Callithrix jacchus: one gene and its partners. The protein of the gene in region 1 interacts with the protein of each later gene in a pairwise test. Links are inferred from orthologs where the notes say so. Each region holds a gene or a part of one and is shown in the gene's direction. Other genes may lie near its edges. The genes, in order: SATB1, PIAS3, TOPORS, UBE2I and PIAS4.

Region 1 (4,263 bases):
AGAGTACAAAGATAAATAGCCATTAATGTTTCTCAAACTTTATAGTTCTTCAATTGGTATTCTTAAGGTTGCTTTTAAATCTCTAGATTAACATTGCTGTCCCCCTTTTCTTGATTATATGGTAAGAAGTAGGCTATGGTTAAACAGAAGAAAAAAATGTTTACAGAAAAACCATGCTGATACAAACTGGCTTTCAACAAATCCAGATTTAAATAGCTTCAGTATAAGAATTTAAAACAAAAACAAGCTATGTCAAATTACTAGACAGCTAGGAAAAATGGTAATTATTCTCTGGTTTTCCTAAATATGAAACCCTTAGTTTTATGAGCTCAATACTTCAAACACCATGAAAGTTCATAAAATAATTCTAATTACCTGTTCTTATCAATCCTAGTTAAAACTATACTTTAAAAATGACTTTTATATTGTCTAATCACTTTACTGTAAATGATGTGAAAATTGATGTCTAATACATAACTGAAAATAATTATCTGTTAATGTTTTGAAGTTAATTATGATGTTAACGCCATTGCATGCTGAGGTTATTTCTGAATACTGGATATTTTGTTTTACCATTATCATCAAGGTTTTTTTGTTTTTTTTTTTTTCCTATAGCTTGACACTTCAACCTAATGTGCATATCATGAACTATATTCAATTTTTAAAAAATATTTATTTTTAACAGCCCTCTATTACTAATGTACACCTAAATATTAACTCTAAAACACATGAGTTTAATGCATCAGTACATTGGATATTTGAAAACCTTTCACTTCTTTCTGTTTGCTTAGGGGTAAACTGATCCAATCATGTGTTTGACCCAAAACTTGACTAGGTCTTTAACAAGTCACATAACTCTTGAAACTTTGGTAGTAGAAAACTTTTTCTAGGCATTAACTTATGCCACTGGGGAGTTTAAAAAGCAGTTAGATGTTTGTTACTTTCTTTAGAGCTGGTTTATGTGTTTTTTATAAGAATTAAAACATATGTAAAAATAGAAACATATACATTAGATTTCTAATATTTTGAACTGTGATAATCTTTCCATCCTTTATTAAAGTGTTTCTGCTGTCTTTTTGTAATGAGTTTCTAGTTGTTAAAAATTGGGACTGCATAAATACAATTTGCTGTTTTCTTTTTAGCTATACTTCTGATAATTCTAAAAGTAAGCCCATTTTTCCTCGCTTTTTTTTTATAGGCCAATTACCTTTTTATTCATGTGTATTGGTACAGTTTCCACAGATCATTCTGTTAATTTGAATAAGAATGTAGGGCTATTATCTAGAAACATAGTAACATCTGTATTTTATCTAGAAAGGCCATTTTACAAATACATTATATTAGTAGAGAGAGATATCTAGAGCTAAAACATTTACATAGGACACATATATGCATACGGGTCCCCAACCAATTGTAACGTGTCTTCTTTTTAAATTCTGGCAGGTGATCTTTAGACAGTGACTGAGTATGGATCATTTGAACGAGGCAACTCAGGGGAAAGAACATTCAGAAATGTCTAACAATGTGAGTGATCCGAAGGGTCCACCAGCCAAGATTGCCCGCCTGGAGCAGAACGGGAGCCCACTAGGAAGAGGAAGGCTTGGGAGTACAGGTGCAAAAATGCAGGGAGTGCCTTTAAAACATTCGGGCCATCTGATGAAAACCAACCTTAGGAAAGGTAAATACTCTCAAGCCAAATCCTGGAAAGCTGAAAGCCCTGGTGTCTACACAAGGCCACATTGTGTGGGGGTGGAGTGGCAGAACATGTTTTGTATACTCTGCCTTTATTCTCTTTCTGATCTTAAATTAGTTACATTCTGGGTCCTTAGTATCAATCATGTTAGAAAGTATAGGCTCCATGCTTGGGTGGAGCATTTTACTGTAGTCTGGAATCATTGGACATTTCAGATTCTAAGGACTGAATTAAATATAATGGTCTTAGTTTACACAGGGGTCCATTCACAAGGTGTTACAGTAGAGGATTGTAGGCGGCTGTTGCTTTAAACTAACCTGATTAAGAATAAAACACTTAGGTGGTTTGAGAGCTACCCTAGCTTCTTTCTAAGATTTTTGGTTGTAAGGCAGTTTCAGAGATCTTAAAAGTCTTACACAGAAGTTTGTCATGTTATTTTTCGTGGCTTATTTTCTTCAGAGAAAATTCATTAGTATTGAAAAATCTGATGATTCTGGTCTTTAATTTTTGTTTTAATTGGGTATGCTTGATGAAGAAAGAACAGATTTAGACAAGTTTAAAGGGGAAGATGTGTAACTGTGTGACTCTTTTCTATCAATATTAAATTGATGCGGTTTAACAACTTTGACTGTGTTTAACAGTGTTGTTCCTGTAAAGCAGTGCCTCTCCCGGGTGTAATGCCTGTGCCTCATAAGGAGCTTCATTCTGTGTCTAAATAACATGTATAGGAATCAGATTTTCCTTATAATAGCTAAGCAATGGATTAAAAATGCTATATTTTAGCAACCAAGAATATTAAGTAGCTAAAGTTAGAAGGCAGAGGAATTTCATTGTGTTTGATGCATAACATTTATCATACAATCATTTATTTTTTCCTTGGTTTGGCGAAAACAAAGAATATATTGATCCTGAAATGAACAGACACAGCAGTCCGTATTGTTAGATCTTTATCTATTAAAAATGGAAAAACAGCACTTCAGCAAATTCTTTGGCCTCTACTCATGATTACCCTATTTATTGATTGTTTGCCAAGAATGTATGCATCTTAAGAAAGCCAGGGTAAGAGCATTAAAAATATAATTTATTACGGCTTTTCAAACAGAGTACATTAATATTGTACTGTGAAGCACTGGGGCTCTATAAAAAAGACTTTCTGACGCCTGCAAACATGTAAGTTCCATAAATTCCTAAATAGGAGATTTCAGCTGTCTCTGGTATTATGTGATATTTGCACAGCAAACTTTAATGCCAGGACAGTTTTAGACAAGGATTCTACAGACTTCACTGCTCCTTATGGCAGACGTGCTGTTTACACAGGCTCATAAACCTTCAGCAAAAGCTTCTAAGACTGCCTTCAGGTTTAAATCATGTGGTATTTTTAGCATTCAGCAGTGACCAGTGCTCTCCCCTTTAAATGCTGGAAGGTTATGAAGTCGCTGTAGTTGGAACTCTCACCGAACACTTGCACGAATAATCAGACAGTTCAGAGAAGGCTTATGTTCAGCGTTATTCCCAGGAACAGGAGGGTAACCGCAACAGTTTGCTAGAAGATCTGTAATTAGATGATACTCTTGTTACTTTATAGACATCTTTATTATTTTAGGGTACCTCTAAACATAATCGATAAAATCCAAAATAAATCCAATATATTTCAATAGTTTGAAAACCCTGCAGTTCATAGGTCTAAGGAAAAGCATATTGTAGAATACATCTGTTTAATCCTTCAAAAGGAAGAATCAATATGTGTGTTTTTGTTGTACTTACTCGACTCCTTGAAGATATCAGGACAGGAGGAGGAAGAACTAAAAGTACAGTAAATTCACTTCCTGCTCAAATGCTTTTTTGTTTTGTTTTTTGGATGTATGCTAAAAATGCAGTTTAATTGTAGAAGGGCCTCAGATACTTCAAATAACAAAATTGCTAAAGCCTTTTCATGGATTTTTATTAATATTTCCATCTTATTTTTCTTGTGCATGGTTTCTGTCTGACAGGTGCTAGATGAAAATTATGGCTGAGATGAGAAAGCACTACTAAGAAAAAGGGATTGAATGTTTTTATTTGTTTAGGCGATTTTGTCAAAATATCTTCAAGCCAAGGAAGAAATCACCAGTTTGCGTATTGCTATTTTTGCTGTGGTCTCCCCAAGTTGTCTTCTGATCCCTGACGGGTTCTCTCGCTGGTATAAAACAGCTGAATGAATGACAAAAATATTGGCAAGCTCTGCAGCTTGTTTTTCATGCTTATCCTATTGGTACCTCTGAATGAGTTTGTGAGTTTTCCTAAGTAAACCTAAAGGGGTTTATTTGTCAGAGCTAGAATCTCTTGTGAACAGTTCACTAAAGCTTTGGTGAAGACTCACATATAGAAAGATGTAGCTGTTTTATTGCCGGCTTTTGTTCAACAGAAACAGCAAATAGAGAATCTCTAAAGAGCCTCTCTGGTGTCAGTAGGAAATCCTGATTTTTAGCTACGGTTGCTGTGTACTACATATCTTCAGAAGTTGGTAGGATTCTGTGAGTCCAGAGGACAGAGCTTACAGAGGCATTAGTATTGTAGGACTAATTGTGGAT
Region 2 (3,992 bases), on another chromosome or scaffold:
TATTCACCTTCAGCTACACCAAGGGTATGGGGACTCTGGTGGAGGTATTGTGCATGTGTATCTGCAGTACTTACTGCTAGATACGCTTTGGATTCACCGGCCCAGGCTTTGCCCTAGGAAGGGACAGTTGTCTTTTGAAGGAAGACTGCTTTATACGGTCAGACACCTGGATCACACCGCCGTAACAGCAGCATCCCACCACCCCAATCCCATACATTAGCGTGAGGGGTCACAGAGGGAGTGAGAATGATGGGATCCAAGAATCTCTTTTCTCCAGATCCACTCACACCAGGAGTTAATCGCTCCAGAGCCAGGCTCTGAGTCCCTCCCTCTCTCACCCGAGCTCCGCCCCGCTCCCCTCTCCGCGGTCCTGGCGGGCTTCCCTTGGAGGGGGCGGCCCCAGCCCGAGTGCTAGGCCGGGCGGAGCTCCGGCCCGGGCGGAGCCGCGGCCGCTGCGTCCGGCTCCGGACCGAACTTCTGCCGAGCGGACAGCAGCAGCGGCGCGGAGCCCCTTGCCCCCACCTCTCCAGCCCGCCCTCTGAGCCTCCCGAGCCCTCTCTCCATTCCCCCCAGCTGTGCTGGTAAGTCCCGCTCCCCGCACCAAACTTTTCCGCTGCGGAGCTGAGGTCCTGCGATGGGACCGCGAGCTGCATTGTGGTTGGTGTGTGGGGGAGGAGGAGTGGGAACAACTGAGCGTGGCCGTCTTGAACCGAATGCCGACTCCACGGCTTCCCCACGACGGATCGGCGCTCGCTGACTTCCCGGGCTGGAAGAACTCTGGATCGTAGTTGCTTAAACTTTACGTAGAGCTGGAGACGAGGGTTTGCGCTCCAACTTCGCTGCCCCCTCCCCCATTTCTCTCAGGTCTAGCAGTTCCGGATACTTTCCCTCCATCTTTCAAGGATCTTTGGCTCCCTAAAAGCTCGTCCCCTCCCAACTCTGCTGTGGCAAAGCCACCCTCCACCGGGCACTTCGGGCCCGCCTCCTTCTCCGTTGCCTTCGGGGACCCCGCGATCTTCGGGGCCTTACGCTGCCTCGGAGGCCACCCGTCCTGCCAACCCGCCGCAGACGTGTAGCCGCTGGGTCCGCTGTGGAGGGAGGGGCTCAGGCTGGGGCTAGTCCGAAGCCCGGCGGGCGGGGCCGGGAAGGGGAGGTGTAGGGGGCCGGACGGGGCGGAGCAGGCGGCATTTGCGGCCGGCGCCGGGGTGGAGAGTTGTGCGCCGGTCCCTGGGCCTGAGCTCCGGCTCCGGCTGGGGCGCCTGCGATGTCTCAAGATGGCGGAGCTGGGCGAATTAAAGGTACCGGCCCCCTCCCCCACCCCCATCTGGCCTGAGCCCGGCGGTGCGCCGTGTCCGGGAAGCGACCGGGACTGGGTGCCGGGGCTCGGGTGGGCGCCGGCGACGTGGCAGGGGCGGGCGGCTGAGGATGGGAGAGAAGTGGCTGCGAGCGAGGAAGGGGCTGCGGCGGGCTCCGGGGGCGGGGCTGCGGGGCAGATGTAGGGGTGGGGCCGAGGGGAATTGCAGCTGCTGGGGGCTGAGGCGCAGGGGGCGGGGACGAGGGGCAGCAGGCGGATTTAGTAGCAGGGGCAGTTGTTGGGGTAGGGCCAGGGGGAAAAGCTGCTGTAGAGGCATCCGGGCGAGTCCATCGAGGCCGAGAGATGCGACAGCAGGGGGCAGATGCAAGGATGGGACCGTGGGGCAGATGTGGGGGGGGCTCCGAGGGAAAGGCAGCCGAGAGGATAGGGGCTTTGGGGGTGCTCTCGGGATCCGAGCTTTGGGAAATACCAGTAGGCGGCTGAGATGTAGGGGGCGGGGCTGTGCGGGCCGACACCGAGGGGTGGGGCAGAAGCATCCTGGAGGCGCGGAGGAAGGTGCTGCCTTAGTGAATCGCGGTGTTTGGGCGGCGGCAGAGGCACGTGAAACTGTGGGATAGAAAGGAGGGAAGTTACAGGGAAAGCTAATGGGGAAAAAAAGACAGGACCGAGGAGATAAGGATGGGGAGAAAGAGGAGCAAGTTTCTCATCACGTTCCACAAAAGGGGCCCAAGACAAAGCCTCCTATGAGAAGAATTGTGTAGGACCAGCATGCCCTGCCCACGACATGACCTCCTGGAGATTCACAGAAGGGAGTCCCCTAAGGAGAGCGCTCCCCTTCTGCCTCACAGAGTTTTGAGGATGACCACGTGTGAGGACATCTGATAAAACCTTAAACCACTGGCTTCATCCCCCTGCCTCCTGGCTTGCTTCTTCTGCCCTTTGCAATGAAGCTATGGTCCTGGGCAGGCTGGAGGTCTAGCCACTGGGCCCAGTTACCTTCAGAGAATTTGCGATTCTGTGCCCTGACTCAGAGGCTTTTTCTTCAGCCAGCCAGGGCCTCTGTTTAGAGCTCTGCCCTCTCCTCTTCCACTCCTACAGGGGGGCTGTAGGTTGTAGCGGGGTGTTACTTTCTCTATGTAGGAGAGAAGCGGGATAATGGTTCCTGACAGACAGAGAGTTATCAGGCAGGATACCTGGACTCAGCGGTTTACTGTTAACAGCCCCCCACCCCCAGACCCAAGTTTTGGTCCTGTTTCCCTTCCAGAAAAATAGGACTAAGTCTCACAGAAGGGGCGGTTATATAAATGATTCCAAGAAAGGATCTGGGGGAGTTATGAGCATTGAACCCTGACCTGAAAATCCTGGCCACAAAAGCTTCAGAGGCTTGGGGGAAATAGCCTAGGCAAATTAAGGTGATTGGGGGGTGGGCTGAAGGGCACAATCCTCCAGCCACCTGGCCCCTTTCTTCCCCATGGGTGAGTCTGGCGTGAATTGTCTCCTCTCCCTGGTTCTCCCTGTCTCCTGTCCTCTTCCCAGGAGGCTGGGATGGGTTTGAGAGTCTGAGAAAGGGCAAGAGAGAAGATAAGCAGCTTAAAGGACAGTCCAGACTAGAGGCAGGGATGGTGGTGGGATGCTGCAGTGGACTCGGAGGTGTGCCTGAGGATGGCTTCTTGTCTGCATTCCCTGCCCCACTCTGGCTGCTTGCAGGCCTGGGAAGATAGTGTTGTTCAAGCTCTGGCGGGTGGTGATCTGCTGACCTTTGGGTTGCTAAAGTGGGGCTGAGATGTCCCTTTGGATAGGTCGACCACCTGGCAGTAATCCACTAGCTTAAAGCATCATCTTCCCCATCAGGGAAGGTGGAGGGAAAAAGGCACTGCCCAACTGGTAGCTCAGCCCATGTCTTGGCAGGACAGGCCTGTGCGAGGTAGGATTCTCAGGCTCCTGTGTTCTTCTCCACAGCACATGGTGATGAGTTTCCGGGTGTCTGAGCTCCAGGTGCTTCTTGGCTTTGCTGGCCGGAACAAGAGTGGACGGAAGCACGAGCTCCTGGCCAAGGCCCTGCACCTCCTGAAGTCCAGCTGTGCCCCTAGTGTCCAGATGAAGATCAAAGAGCTTTACCGACGTCGCTTTCCCCGGAAGGCCCTGGGGCCCTCTGATCTCTCCCTGCTCTCTTTGCCCCCTGGCACCTCTCCTGTAGGCTCCCCTGGCCCTCTAGCTCCCATTCCCCCAACCCTGTTGGCCCCTGGCACCCTGCTGGGCCCCAAGCGTGAGGTGGACATGCACCCCCCTCTGCCCCAGCCTGTGCACCCTGATGTCACCATGAAACCATTGCCCTTCTATGAGGTCTACGGGGAGCTCATCCGGCCCACCACCCTTGGTATGGCTCTTTGTGGTCCCTTAGTCTTCTGGACTCCATGGCTGTTCCCCAAACATTTCAGAGGCTTTAGTACTGTGGGATTGGCGGCATGGATGGGGGTGATTTCTGTGGCTGCCTGTGCATGGGCTTGGAATAACTGCCATTTTGTGTCCTCAGCATCCACTTCCAGCCAGCGGTTTGAGGAAGCACACTTTACCTTTGCCCTCACACCCCAGCAAGTGCAGCAGATTCTTACATCCAGGTACATTTCTTTCAGTCTTCCTGCCTCATCCCTGGAGGGTTACCCCTGGGCTCTCCTTT
Region 3 (3,955 bases), on another chromosome or scaffold:
ATGAACATGGAACAGAACTATCACCTCTGTAGACTTAAGATTTTCTACTAACTGTATCTTTGTTTCTCTAGGGTGATACAATTGTGGAGACCGGAGAAGTAATTCCACCAATGAAAGAATTTCCTGATCAACATCATTAAAGATTATGTAAAAATTTAAAAGGCTTATGAGCCTAAGTTTGTTCCTACATTACCGTATTTACTGAATTATCTGGAAGAGTGACTTAATAAAGTTTAATCTCAGAAATTGTCATACCTCTTTTCAAGCACTGTACAATTTGAGACTGAGTAATTTAACAATAAATAAAAACTAAACATGCTAAACAAATTCGAGAGACCACTTACTTTTTGTGGCCATTCTCAACTTGGAAAACAGGATATGGAAAAGTATTTAGTTACATGTTAGGTTTTTTCCTTACATAGTACTTACTCTAATTTGGTATCAGGGTATATGCAGCAGAGTGAAATATCGCAATAAACAAATATAAGAGCAGAAAGTCCAGCACTTTTGTTTTAAATAAATCGTTCTGAGTCATTTAAAAGAATTTAGAAACTTGATTGAAAAGCCTATTCTAACCATGATCTGATACTCAAAGACTGTTTCGGATCTCGGTTGCTGTATTTTGTCATGAGAAGGTAAAATGCTAAAATTTCTATTTGAAAAATTTGCATACTAGTGCTTATTATAAAGGATAATACAAAAATAAACTTGGGAGCTTTGCATTATTAATTTTATTTTTAAATCTACATAAGCATGAGGGAAAGAAATGTAATTGCAGAGAATTAAATCCAGAGGAGTTACAAATTTTCATTCGTCCCAAAAATTATCTGGGTATTTCTTCCTTAGCTGTCGTCTTGCAGCCACCGTTGATGCATAGATGACGTAGCCCCAGGAGATTAAAACGATGGCAAGCAGCAACTAAAATAACCAAAAACCGCAAAAGAGGTGTGAAAACCAAAAAATTACTGTAATGTGCCTGATATTTCCCTTCGCCCCGGTCAGGTCACCCGTGCCATTGATAAGGTGGGAATTACAGTAGCAAAGTCGAATAAAGGGGGTTCCCGTGGCGGGTACACCCAGCAGCCCTCACGTAAGAAGCGGAAGATCGTATCCTCCAGGAAGAGGCGGAGTCGAGGTGAGGGAGTGAAATGCTTAATTCAAGAATGGATTTTGGAGTTACTGGGTGCTGACGAAATAGGGCCCTATGTCTGCAGGCCCAGTGAGTCGATAACGGTGGAGCCTCGCGAGCCCAGGGACCTACCACTGAGTAAATCCAGTCCAGCGTGCGACGACTCACTGGCTTCATGGTAAGGAGGCGGCAGCGGTCCGCGGGAGCCGGCGGGAGCTGCGGGCCTCATAGTAACCTCCCAGGCGGTGGCTGCCTAGCGGCAGCCGCCATCTTTCAGCCGGGCACAAGCGTCCGCCTACTCGCTTCTTGCAGCGCTTTCGCCGGCCTCTTCCGCCGGGAGTTGGGAGCGGGATCACGTGATCGGGGGCCTAGCCCGCCTTTTAGAGAGGGGAAGAAATAAACGTTAATTTTTTTAGAGAAAAATGTTAATTTTTTTCTTTCCAGCTAGAGAAATCGAGATAGGCGTGCTTCCACTGGTTTTCTTTCTAGTTGCAATGCATTAGTACTGCAGGATAAGGTGCTGTCGTGTCCATTTAAAAGTTAGTTTGGAAAACAATCTGTTTTAAATATTACATCGGCATCTAACGCTGGAAGAATTAACACTTTCTGCCCCGCCCCGCCTGCATCTGATACCACACAATTTTAATGGACGTTCGTCTGTTCATCTTTGACGTAAAAATAGCACCCACTCTTTTGTATGTGACAAATCATTGTGGGAACTCCTGTAAATCGAGCCATTCTTAAATGTGTAACTTGTAAAAATAATATCTCTAAGAAGAAATAGGTGGGACGCGTTAGCCGCCATAATGTACCAGTCAAGCAACAAGTGTTTGTTGAGCATGTCTGATGTTCTTCAACGGCCGCGCGTGAGATACTAAGCCCCGAGCACGGCAGTTTTGCGGGCGAGCGTACCAGGTTCAGCTCTAGAATGTTTGGGACGCTCACATTTAAGGCCTGAGGAGTAGAATCTGGCAACGGGCCGCTTTAGGCTCTAGACGTTCTTCATACCTCTCAGTTTCTCTTAAAAAGAGTGTCTAGATTTCAGGGAGTAGGAAGGGGAAAAGTGGAGAAAAACGTGTTTTGTTTGGGGAAGAGTCCAGGCCCTGTTTGTTAGGCTGTCCTGTTTCTCCCCAGCCTGGAGGGGATCCCTCTCTGAATACTTTATAGGATACTGGTTTTGGACTCCATGTCTTGCTTCCTGGAGATACACAATAGGAGGTGAGACTTCACGTCCGTGTAACAGTTCCCCTATCTAGACACTAGAGACAGTTTCGTAACTTCCCGCAGAGTTTGGTGAGCTTGAAACGACATCGAACTAGTTCTTGTGTTTTCTGGGTAAGTTAGGGGCGAACATTCAGCCAGTGTCCCAAGCGGCTGAGTACTACTGACGATGAGGGCCGTGCTCTCAGCCTGGGAGGGTCTCTCATCCCGGCTCTTGCGCGGCGGGGGAGGGGCCGCGTTTCAGCCGGCGCGCTGAGCCCCGCCCTCGAGGCTGGCGCGCGTCTGCTGCGCATGCGTGACGAAGGCGGGTGTTGTGTTGTGACGCGCCGGGAGCTGGGGGGTGGGTCTCGCTCTCTGCCCTGCTTCGGAGCTGCCATTGGTGATGAGCGCTTTGCGTCATAGGGGTCGCAGCAGCCACTGGGGTCTCCGCTGTCTCGCGAGGAGGGTGAAGCGCCCCCGCCTGCCCCCGCTTCGGAGGGTAGGCGGAGAAGTCGCCGGGTACGCCTTCGCGGATCCTGCCGTCACCGACCTACCTTTCTGGGCCGACGGGAGCTTGCGGCGAGCGCCCCAGCTGGGCCTGCGCCGGCGTCTTCCGAGGTGAGTGAGATCCGGAACAATGGGGCGCGGGGGTCGGCGGGGCTGGGCGAGCTGGCGCTCTCGCCTGGAGCGGCGCCTCGGGACCCGAAGGCTGCGGTCTTGGCCTGCGGTCTTGGCCTCCGAGGGCCAGGGCCGGGTTTCCCGGGCGGCTCCTGCAGCGCACCTGTGGATTGATGCGGGCGGGCGGGCGGGCGAGGGTTGCGCTTCCAACGAGCGCTCTCGAGGGGCGCGAGCTTGGCAGTGTACTGGAAAGAGCTTGGTCTCTGGGAAAAACAAAAAAGCAATGAGACTGAATCGTGGCGTCACCACTTACAGGGTGTGTGACCTTGCCTAGGTTCCCTAAGCCCCTGAATCTGTCTGTAAAATGGGAATAACAGTATTTAAGTTCATTATGTAATGCGCCTGGTGCTTATTTTAGGTCTGTCCGGTGGCAGTTCTGAACCAAAGCAAACGACTATCACCGTGGCTCTTGCACTCGTCTGTGCTGTTACGCATTCTGGGCAGAAATTGCCTGTGACTTGTTCATCCTTCCATTTACTGCAGCTTTCCTCATGGACTGCTGATTGTAGGCTGGAAAGGGGCAGTGCTGAGATGAGCCACATAGTGATTTAAGATGAAAACGGAGTAGACCTTTTGATAGGTAATTTTCAAGATTAAGATAAATTAAGAAACAGCTGCCCAAGATTTAAGTTAATGGTGGCAAGAGCTTTCTGGATTTTGTCCATGAAATGCAAAGAAAGCTATACAATCAGCTAAAACCAATCATGCTTGTCTGCAATGAGTCGTTTTAGAGGGGAGCAGTTCCCAACCAATTCTTATTGCTGGAATTGGAGTTAAATTTGGTAGGATCTCGTCAGGTAGATCCTACAAAAAATTTGATAGGATCTCGTCAGGTAGATCCTACAACTCTTGTGCATTCTTTTGGAATTGATTAAAATGCAGTTCAGAGAGGTACAGTGATTTTTTTTTAAGGTGGCAAGAGGTAGGAACCAGTTTATTTTTAATACT
Region 4 (4,042 bases), on another chromosome or scaffold:
AGTGAGGGAGGGAAAGAGTGAGAGATGGAGGGAATGAGTGAGGGAACGAATGAGGGAGAGAGGAAATGAGTGAGGGAGGAAATGAGTGAGGGAGGGAATGAGTGAGGGAGGGAATGAGTGAGGGAGGGAATGAGTGAGGGAGGGAATGGGTGAGGCAGGGAATGAGTGAGGGAGGGAATGAGTGAGGGTGGGAATGAGTGAATGAGGGAGAGAATGAATGAGGGAGGAAATGATTGAGGAAGTGAAGGAATGAGTGAGCGAGTAAAGGAATGAATGAATGAATGAATGAGTCAGTGAGGGAGGGAATGAAAGAATGCGGTCATTCCCCGTGGTCCCCAAGCGCCCGGACACAGTGACCTTGGCAGCGACCCCGCCGTCGGCGAAATGGGGGTGGGCGGGCCAGGAGAGCCCGGGGCCAGCACAGCCGCGCGTTGGCGGAGCGTCCAGCGCGCTCGCGGGGCTGGGGGCCTCCCGACCCGGTCCCCGCGGTTGGCGCGGGGATGGGAGTGGGGGTGGGGCCGGGAAGCGCCCCTCCCCCACGGGCCCGCCCCGCCCCCGCCGCTCGCAGGCCCCGCGCCCCGCCCCCGCCCAGGGTCCGCCCCCAGGTTAGGGAACATCCTCACTTCTCCTCCCGTCGGTCATGCGCGCATTCGGCCTTTTGTACCGGGTCAGCTCATTGGGCGGATGAGAAGATTTCCCCGCCCGCCGCCCCGAACTGGCCAATTGCAAGAGGTTTCACAGGGCGCTAAACTAGCGGGAGCGTCACCGTCCTGCGACGCTTCAGGGTATCCTTAGGCCTCAGTGGTCTTTGCCCCCAGACCCCAGGCCCTGACCCCAAGGAAACCTCCGGGACGTGTGCCTGGAGAGGTGACTTCCGGGTATCCAGGGAGCTTTTGGAGTTCTCGGCCTCCTTTTGCCCCCGCTGCTCGCCGGCGCGTCCTCGGATGGACGCGGGCGCCCCGAAGGGGAGTTTGCAGACGCTCCCTCACATCGGGGACGCGGCTCCTTTAAGGGTGTAGGTGTCCAGGGCGCCGCCTGACTGGAAAGTCGCCCCCCGACCGGGCTCCTGGGGCGGACCCGGGTCGCGGGCGCGCGGTGGCGGGGCCCGGGCGGCGGGGGGCGGGTGGTGGCGCGGGCAGCACTCGGGGCGGGACGGCGGCGGCGGCGCGCGAGGCAGGCTTGCGGAGGGCAGCCCCGCGCCAGGCCCCGCCTCGCGCGCCCCGCCCGCCCCAGGGTCCTCGGAGCTGCTCGGGCTGCGCGCGGAGCGGGCTCCGGAGGGAAGTCCCGAGACAAAGGGAAGCGCCGCCGCCGCCGCCCCGCTCGGTCCTCCGCCTGTCCGCGACGCTCGCCGGGGCCGCGGCCGCCCGAGGTGAGCGCGGGCGGGGGCCGGGCCGGGGCCGCGGGGCGGGGGCGGGCTAAGGCCTCCAGCGCTGTCGGGCCCGGGCCCCCGGCTGCCCCGCGCCCCGCCCCGCCGAGCCCGGGCCCCGCGTCGCGGCCGAGCTTCCCAGAGAGGCCCCGCGCTCGACGCCGGCCCGGCCCGCGGTGCTGGCGTCGCGGGGCTGTAGCCCGAGCGCCCGGTTCGCCGTAGGCCCTCGGGGCCGGGGCTCCCCCACTTCGCCCTCGAGGTGCGCCTGGCGCGGGGCCGGGGCAGCCACCTGCAGCCGGGGCCCCGCGAGGCCGCGCCTTCCTCCTCCGCGGCGAGCGGCTTCCGGGGTCACGGTCGCCCGCGGACGACGAGGATGGGCCTCCGGGGGGAGAGCCGCGGATTGCAACAGCGCTGACTCGCGCGGGTGGGGGCCGGCGGGCGGGCGGGCGGCTCTTCGGGGCCTTCAAACCGAAACGCGTCCAAGTTCTCTCGCGCCGCTGAAGACGCCCCGCCGGCGCCGCTGGTGGGAGTTTGGTCCGGTCTCGGGCCGCTTTGTACCGGTTGAATCGTGGTTGGCTCTGGAAGTTGGGGCCGTAGGAGGCAGGTGCGGGGTGACGCGCTGGGCTTGTGGTCGTGGCCTGCGGTCAGGCGCGAAGCGCAGGACGAAGTGGTTCGGGGTGTGGAGTCGGGAGTCACGTTTAGTTCCTCTGTCCGCGGAGTCTTGGGGGATTTCGTCGGTTTTCTCCCTAGGACTCACCCCACCCGTTTCTTGCTCTTTAAAGAAACGTTGCCTTTGGGTAGAGAACCTAGCGGAGAGAACACAGGAAGGACCCTCAGTTTGCCCTGGGGGCTCACAAAGAGGTCCCTTCCCTAGGCTGTTGGGTGGCTGCAGGTGTCCCGGGGTTTGGGATCTCGCTGCGGAAACAGCCCGGGGGCCTGGGACAGACAGGTCAGGTGCGGCCAGGTGAGCGTGTCCCGACTGCAGGTGCCCGGGTCGTGCAGAAGGGAACATCCTCCCGGGCCTGGGAGAGTGTGCATTTGGGTGCAGGAGGACCTTTGAGGGCTTCAGGTGCGAGCCTGTCGGGGCGCCCACCTGTTCTGGTGATGAGGGCTGCGGAGCTGTGGGCGGCACTGTGGGAGATGGGCGCTTTGCTCACCCTCAGCCAGGAAGTTGCTCTGAAGTGGGTGCAGTCGGCCAGCAGAGCCAGGTGGTGATCGGACATGCTCAAGCTCAGCCCTCTGCGTGTGCCCTGTGGGAGGGCAGGCGGCAGACTTTCGGGCAGCTCCTGGAGTGCCCGGCCCAGAGGTCCCGTTGCTGCCGGTGTCTGGGCCTTGCCTGGCGCTGACAGAAGAGTTGTTTTTGTGTTTGTAGCGTAAAAGTTTCCTGTTTTGAAGCCCTTAGTGACTCCTAGCTGTTCACTAAGTGCCTATCTGTTAGTTGGGGAGGATGGATTCAGTTTTCAGTGGGATTTTTGAATGCTGGGTCTGTGTTGTGATTACATTGTAACAGATGGGCCACTTTCTCCAGTGGGCAGGCCAGCAGGAGGGGGAGCAGGGATCTTGGAGGCCAGGCCTGGCTTCTGCCTAGGATGGGTGGGTGTGCACCTGTGGCTCCCTGCCCTGATGGTAGAGTGTCCTGTACGACCCCCGCCTGGTGCTGAGTGCTTTGGGGCTGGCGGCACAGCGGCAGCAGCCCGGTCTTGGCAGGAGGTTTGGCAGGACCACCCTCATGACTTCTCACACCTGAGGCAACAATAGCTGGGGGCTGAGCACGGCCTCTGGGCGGCCCTGTCCAGTCCTCAGCAGGAAGGCCACCTGTGGCAGAGTCCCAGGCCTGCTGGCCTCTCCATGGCCTGGTCTTGCCTGGCTGTGAGCATCGGTGCCCATGGTCCTTCAGTGACTGGAGCGCTGGTCTGGGGCTTCAGAGGCCCGTCTGATGCCTGGCCCCGCTCAGACCATGGGCACCTGGGAGCTGGCGCCTTCGTGAAACAGCCACTCGCCAGGCTGCTATGCACTGCACAGGGCACAGGTTGCAGCCACTCAGAGACTCCTCCCTGGGGCTGGGGAAGCAAGAGCCCCTGAGTTCTCAGGCCGCCGGTACCAAGGTGGTGCTGGGCTACTCCATGTGGAAGAGCCAATGGAAGGGGAAGGTGGAGAAAACTCCACACCGGCTGGGGTGTGGAGTTTCAGACCCCAGCCAGTGCAGAGAGAACCTTGAAACCGTGGTTGGCGAGCACTCCAGCCTGCTTGGGACCCATACCCTGCCTGCCCCCAGCTCGGCCCAGCTGTGTCCTCCCCCACTTTCTCCCGACTTAGAGGAGGGTGTGGGGAAGGGCAAGCGGTCAGGAGGGCAGGTGGCCTGTGGACCCTCTGCGTCTCAGTGAGGAAGATGTGGGGAAGGACATCCCAGTGGGGCCCAGTCCGTGGCTGCCTCCAGCCCCGGCTGCCTGTCTTGGACTTAGTCGTGGAGCTGGAGGCCAGGGCCCAGTGGCCCCTGTCACTCTCTCCCAGTGCCACCAGCGCCTGCTGACTGGAGGACCCAGGTTCCTCTGCCTGCTTTTTCTCGGACTACCATGAGAACCCGTGTTTGGTGAAAATGAACCAAATCCCCCTGCAGGGCACGCGGCTCTAGCAACCCTGCCCGGCTTCCGGAACCCTGGTGCCCTGGTGACGCTG
Region 5 (3,511 bases), on another chromosome or scaffold:
GCCTCTCTGTTCCCGGCCTGACAGCTGTGCGGCCGCTGCCCGCCTTCCCCCACAGGCCTGAGCTGGGCTTGGGCTCTCGGCTCCAGGGCTGGCAGGGCTGGGCCAGGCAGCCGTGACCCACGTAGGCCTTGGTCTCAGCAGCCACCGGTACTCCGTGTAGCCAGGGAGGCTTCCTGAAGGAGGGCTCCTTGGTTCATACATTTCTCCATGAGGCCTGTCACCTGTCTGTCCCTAGCCCTGAGCTGGGTGACCCCAGGGTTCCCAAAAGAGTCATTTCCCAGACCCTGCCTTTGGAGAGCCTTGCTAGGGGCGGATGGAGGAGCAGAGCCAGGCATAATGTTCCTGCTGCTGTGCCTGTCAAGGAGGGGAAGGGACGCTGTGGGATGGGGTTTCAGAGGCTGAGTAGGAGTTTGCAGGCAAAGAAGCAAGCAGGCAGAGCTGGTCCCATGCCTGGGATGGCCCTGGCACAGTGAGCTCTGAGCATTGCCTCAGGGTGAGGGTAGGAGGGGTGGGCGGGGCTGACCTGGGTGAGAGGAGTCCCATAGGCCTCAGAGGGTGGCCCAGAGCGTGAAGAGGCCTCTTCTCCTTGGTGATGAGAGTGACGCTGCCGCAGGCACCTGGGAGCCGCTGCAGCCTTGACAGTTACAGGCCAGCCTGCTCTGTGATACGTGGCCCTGCCTATACCTGTGGGCATGGGGGGGTCTCCCTTCAGATGCCCCCGTTGGCCACTGCACCCTTCCCATTCTGCAGGTGGGGAGACCGAGGCCCTTTGGCTAGGATGCCCCAGAACCAGGGCCTGCCTCCGATTGTCCTTGGGTCCTCAGGACTCATCCGTTTCCTGGGCCTCTGTTTGCCCATTTATAAAATAGGGCTGTTAGGACTCTTGAGTAAGAAGGCCGGACACTGGGTGGGGTGCAAGCTCTGGAGAGGCTGTGGCTGTGATGGGCATGGGGGGATCCCCGCTCTGCTCCCAGTGCTACCCTCACAGCCTCTGCAGGATCTTTGAGCAGCCCACACCTTCCCCCCAAGGAGGTTTCCTGGTCTGCTGGCACACAGTGCAATGTGAAGGCATGAGTGTGCGCACCCCCACAGGCTCACACTTGGCACGTGCACGCCACATGCTTACATGTCTGCAGCCTGCGCCTTCACATGCACGCGTGCCTACATTAACACAGCGCATGCCCATGTATGCACATGCTCATGTGCCCACGTCCGAACAATCCACATACACGTGTGTGCACATCCACACATGCATACATTCACATGTGTGCACGTACATACACTCACACGTGCTCATGGCCACACCATCCACATATGCATGTGTGTACCTGCAGACCTGCCTAGGGCTCAGCAGCTGCAGGGGCCGTGGCAGGGAAGGAAGGCAGTGCTCCTGGGCCGCCCTGGTCGGGGTGGTGAAGGCGCTCTGGCACAGAGAAGTGGGCAGTGGCTGGCTGCATTTGAACGGGATGGTGTGCTGTGGATTGCGTGGGCGGGGTGCCCCCAGCCCAGGGCTCAGCTTCTCTGCCTTGCTCCAGCCTCCTCTCGAAGATCCTGAGCGAGTGTGAGGACGCCGACGAGATCGAATACCTGGTGGACGGCTCATGGTGCCCAATCCGTGCCGAGAAGGAGCGCAGCTGCAGCCCACAGGGCACCATCCTCGTGCTGGGTGAGTGCCTCGCCACCGCTGACTGCACGGTCCCCAGCCAGGCCGCCTCAGTTTCCCTATTTGTCAGTAGCTGCGTCCTAAGTACCTTCGTCCTGTGCCTGTCGCCTGCAGGCCCCTCAGATGCCAGTGGGCTCCTGCCCACTCCCAGTGTCAACGGGAGTAGTGCACTGGGCAGCACGGGTGGCGGCGGCCCAGCGGGCAGTGTGGAGAATGGGAAACCGGGCACAGACGTGGTGGACCTCACGCTGGACAGCTCATCGTCCTCGGAGGATGAGGAGGAAGAGGAGGAGGAGGACGAGGACGAGGACGACGAGGGCCCCCGGCCCAAGCGCCGCTGCCCCTTCCAGAAGGGCCTGGTGCCAGCCTGCTGACCCTGGCCGGACACGCGACTTTCCTGGTGCTCACCACGCAGAGGGGCGCGGGGCCGGCCTTGGGCGCAGAGGGAGGAGTGACCTTTTTTTTCTTTTTATTGTCGTTCGTTTTGTTTTTCCACCCCGTTGCCTGGCTCCTGGCACCTGTACCTCTGGACTCTCCTGTCAGGGGATTAAAAAACAGTAAAATGACAAAAAAAAAAAAAATACAAAAAAAATGAAACGAAAAAGTCAAACTCTTAAAAACAAGGCCGGCCACCCACACAGCCACCTCCCCGGCTGGAGTCAGAGCCGGGCAGGGGTGGTGGGCGGGAGGGACCAGGACGCCGCCCCGCATCCTCCCCTCAGGACACCCTGCTGCCCGCTGCCCTCTTCCCATGACCATTTCAGCCAGGGCGCAGGGACCCGGGCGGCGGGGTGGGGCGCAGCCCCTCTCTGGCAGCCACTTTGTCGTGTGTCTCTTCCTTTGCTTTCTCTCTGCAAACGCGGCCTCACCCAGAGACCCTCACGCTCCTAGCAGCGAGCGTTTTAGCCAAGAAGCCATGGAGTGGGTTGGGGCAGGGAGGGGCAGGAGTGGGAGGAGGGCGGGCAGGTTGAGGGCACGGTTGGGGGCTGGGGAGGGTTTAGCCACAGATGTGTTGTATTTTTTGAAAGTGCAATAATTTGGTATTTTGAAGACCCGGCGTGTGGCCAGGAACCCCTGGGGAAGGTGGGGGTCAGGGTGCGGCACCGTGTGGCGTGGGGGGGTCTCAGTTTTCTAGCCAGCTACCTCGGTAATTCCAATTCAGGTTAACTTCCCTACGGAACAGCACAGATGTCCACAGATGTCCACAGCTGCCACCGCCGCCACCACCACACCCTGGTCCTCAGGACGGGGGGTGGTGGCTTCCCAAGGGGCAGTGGGGACTCCGGCCGCCCTGGCTCTCGGTTTGGGTTGATTCCTCTCCCTTCTTTTTGCTCTTGGGTTTTCCGACGGGTACGAGGCTGGCCCGGCACCCTGTCCCCCGGGAGCCTCGCTCTTCCAGCGGGACCAGACCAGACGGGGCCTCCCTCCTGTCCCCAGGGGTTCCTTGCCCCTCATAGGCCCCACCCATGCCCTTGGCCTCAGGGTCCAACAAGGGGGGGCTTTGGGGGCTCTGCCTCCAGGAGCCTGTAGCTGGGCGACCCCTCGCCCCCCAGGAGACCGGGGCGCAGGCGGGGCGCCGGCCTCACCTGGTTCTCCAACACCGCTCCTTGCGGTCTGTTTTGCTTTTGTCTTCCCCGGCCCAGAATCTTCCTTTGTATAAACAGAACTCCTAGTCAGGAAGCAATATCATTTCAGGTCTACAGAAAGGGACGTGCATCTGGCCCAGGGCAGCTCAGTCTCTGCAGAGCCGGCAGCCCGGCCCCGGGCAGCTGAAGGCCACAGTTTTCTAGTATTTGTATTCTAATTTAATTGTTTTTAAAAAATGGAAATAAAAAAAGGTCGAGGTGA

The links.
Region 2: the proteins of SATB1 (region 1) and PIAS3 interact in a two-hybrid assay, tested with the Homo sapiens proteins (2 studies listed by BioGRID and IntAct). The link is inferred for Callithrix jacchus from reciprocal best matches to the Homo sapiens genes SATB1 and PIAS3.
Region 3: the proteins of SATB1 (region 1) and TOPORS interact in a two-hybrid assay, tested with the Homo sapiens proteins (2 studies listed by BioGRID and IntAct). The link is inferred for Callithrix jacchus from reciprocal best matches to the Homo sapiens genes SATB1 and TOPORS.
Region 4: the proteins of SATB1 (region 1) and UBE2I interact in a two-hybrid assay, tested with the Homo sapiens proteins (3 studies listed by BioGRID and IntAct). The link is inferred for Callithrix jacchus from reciprocal best matches to the Homo sapiens genes SATB1 and UBE2I.
Region 5: the proteins of SATB1 (region 1) and PIAS4 interact in a two-hybrid assay, tested with the Homo sapiens proteins (2 studies listed by BioGRID and IntAct). The link is inferred for Callithrix jacchus from reciprocal best matches to the Homo sapiens genes SATB1 and PIAS4.

What each region holds. Positions count from the first base shown.
Region 1 is NC_133518.1:57,115,771-57,120,033, reverse strand, and holds the start of SATB1 (DNA-binding protein SATB1), read left to right. Parts: upstream 1-1,461; 5' UTR 1,462-1,467; coding exon 1,468-1,678; intron 1,679-4,263. UniProt on the Homo sapiens protein: Crucial silencing factor contributing to the initiation of X inactivation mediated by Xist RNA that occurs during embryogenesis and in lymphoma.
Region 2 is NC_133519.1:8,291,595-8,295,586, reverse strand, and holds the start of PIAS3 (E3 SUMO-protein ligase PIAS3), read left to right. Parts: upstream 1-1,183; 5' UTR 1,184-1,274; coding exon 1,275-1,298; intron 1,299-3,274; coding exon 3,275-3,692; intron 3,693-3,848; coding exon 3,849-3,933; intron 3,934-3,992. UniProt on the Homo sapiens protein: Functions as an E3-type small ubiquitin-like modifier (SUMO) ligase, stabilizing the interaction between UBE2I and the substrate, and as a SUMO-tethering factor.
Region 3 is NC_133502.1:139,735,165-139,739,119, reverse strand, and holds the start of TOPORS (E3 ubiquitin-protein ligase Topors), read left to right. Parts: upstream 1-1,154; 5' UTR 1,155-1,304; coding exon 1,305-1,307; exon of another isoform or gene 1,308-1,414; intron 1,415-2,752; coding exon 2,753-2,947; intron 2,948-3,955. UniProt on the Homo sapiens protein: Functions as an E3 ubiquitin-protein ligase and as an E3 SUMO1-protein ligase. Probable tumor suppressor involved in cell growth, cell proliferation and apoptosis that regulates p53/TP53 stability through ubiquitin-dependent degradation.
Region 4 is NC_133513.1:3,564,873-3,568,914, forward strand, and holds the start of UBE2I (SUMO-conjugating enzyme UBC9), read left to right. Parts: upstream 1-1,233; 5' UTR 1,234-1,369; intron 1,370-1,699; exon of another isoform or gene 1,700-1,966; intron 1,967-4,042. UniProt on the Homo sapiens protein: Accepts the ubiquitin-like proteins SUMO1, SUMO2, SUMO3, SUMO4 and SUMO1P1/SUMO5 from the UBLE1A-UBLE1B E1 complex and catalyzes their covalent attachment to other proteins with the help of an E3 ligase such as RANBP2, CBX4 and ZNF451.
Region 5 is NC_133523.1:3,790,946-3,794,456, forward strand, and holds part of PIAS4 (E3 SUMO-protein ligase PIAS4), read left to right. Parts: intron 1-1,535; coding exon 1,536-1,666; intron 1,667-1,777; coding exon 1,778-2,037; 3' UTR 2,038-3,511.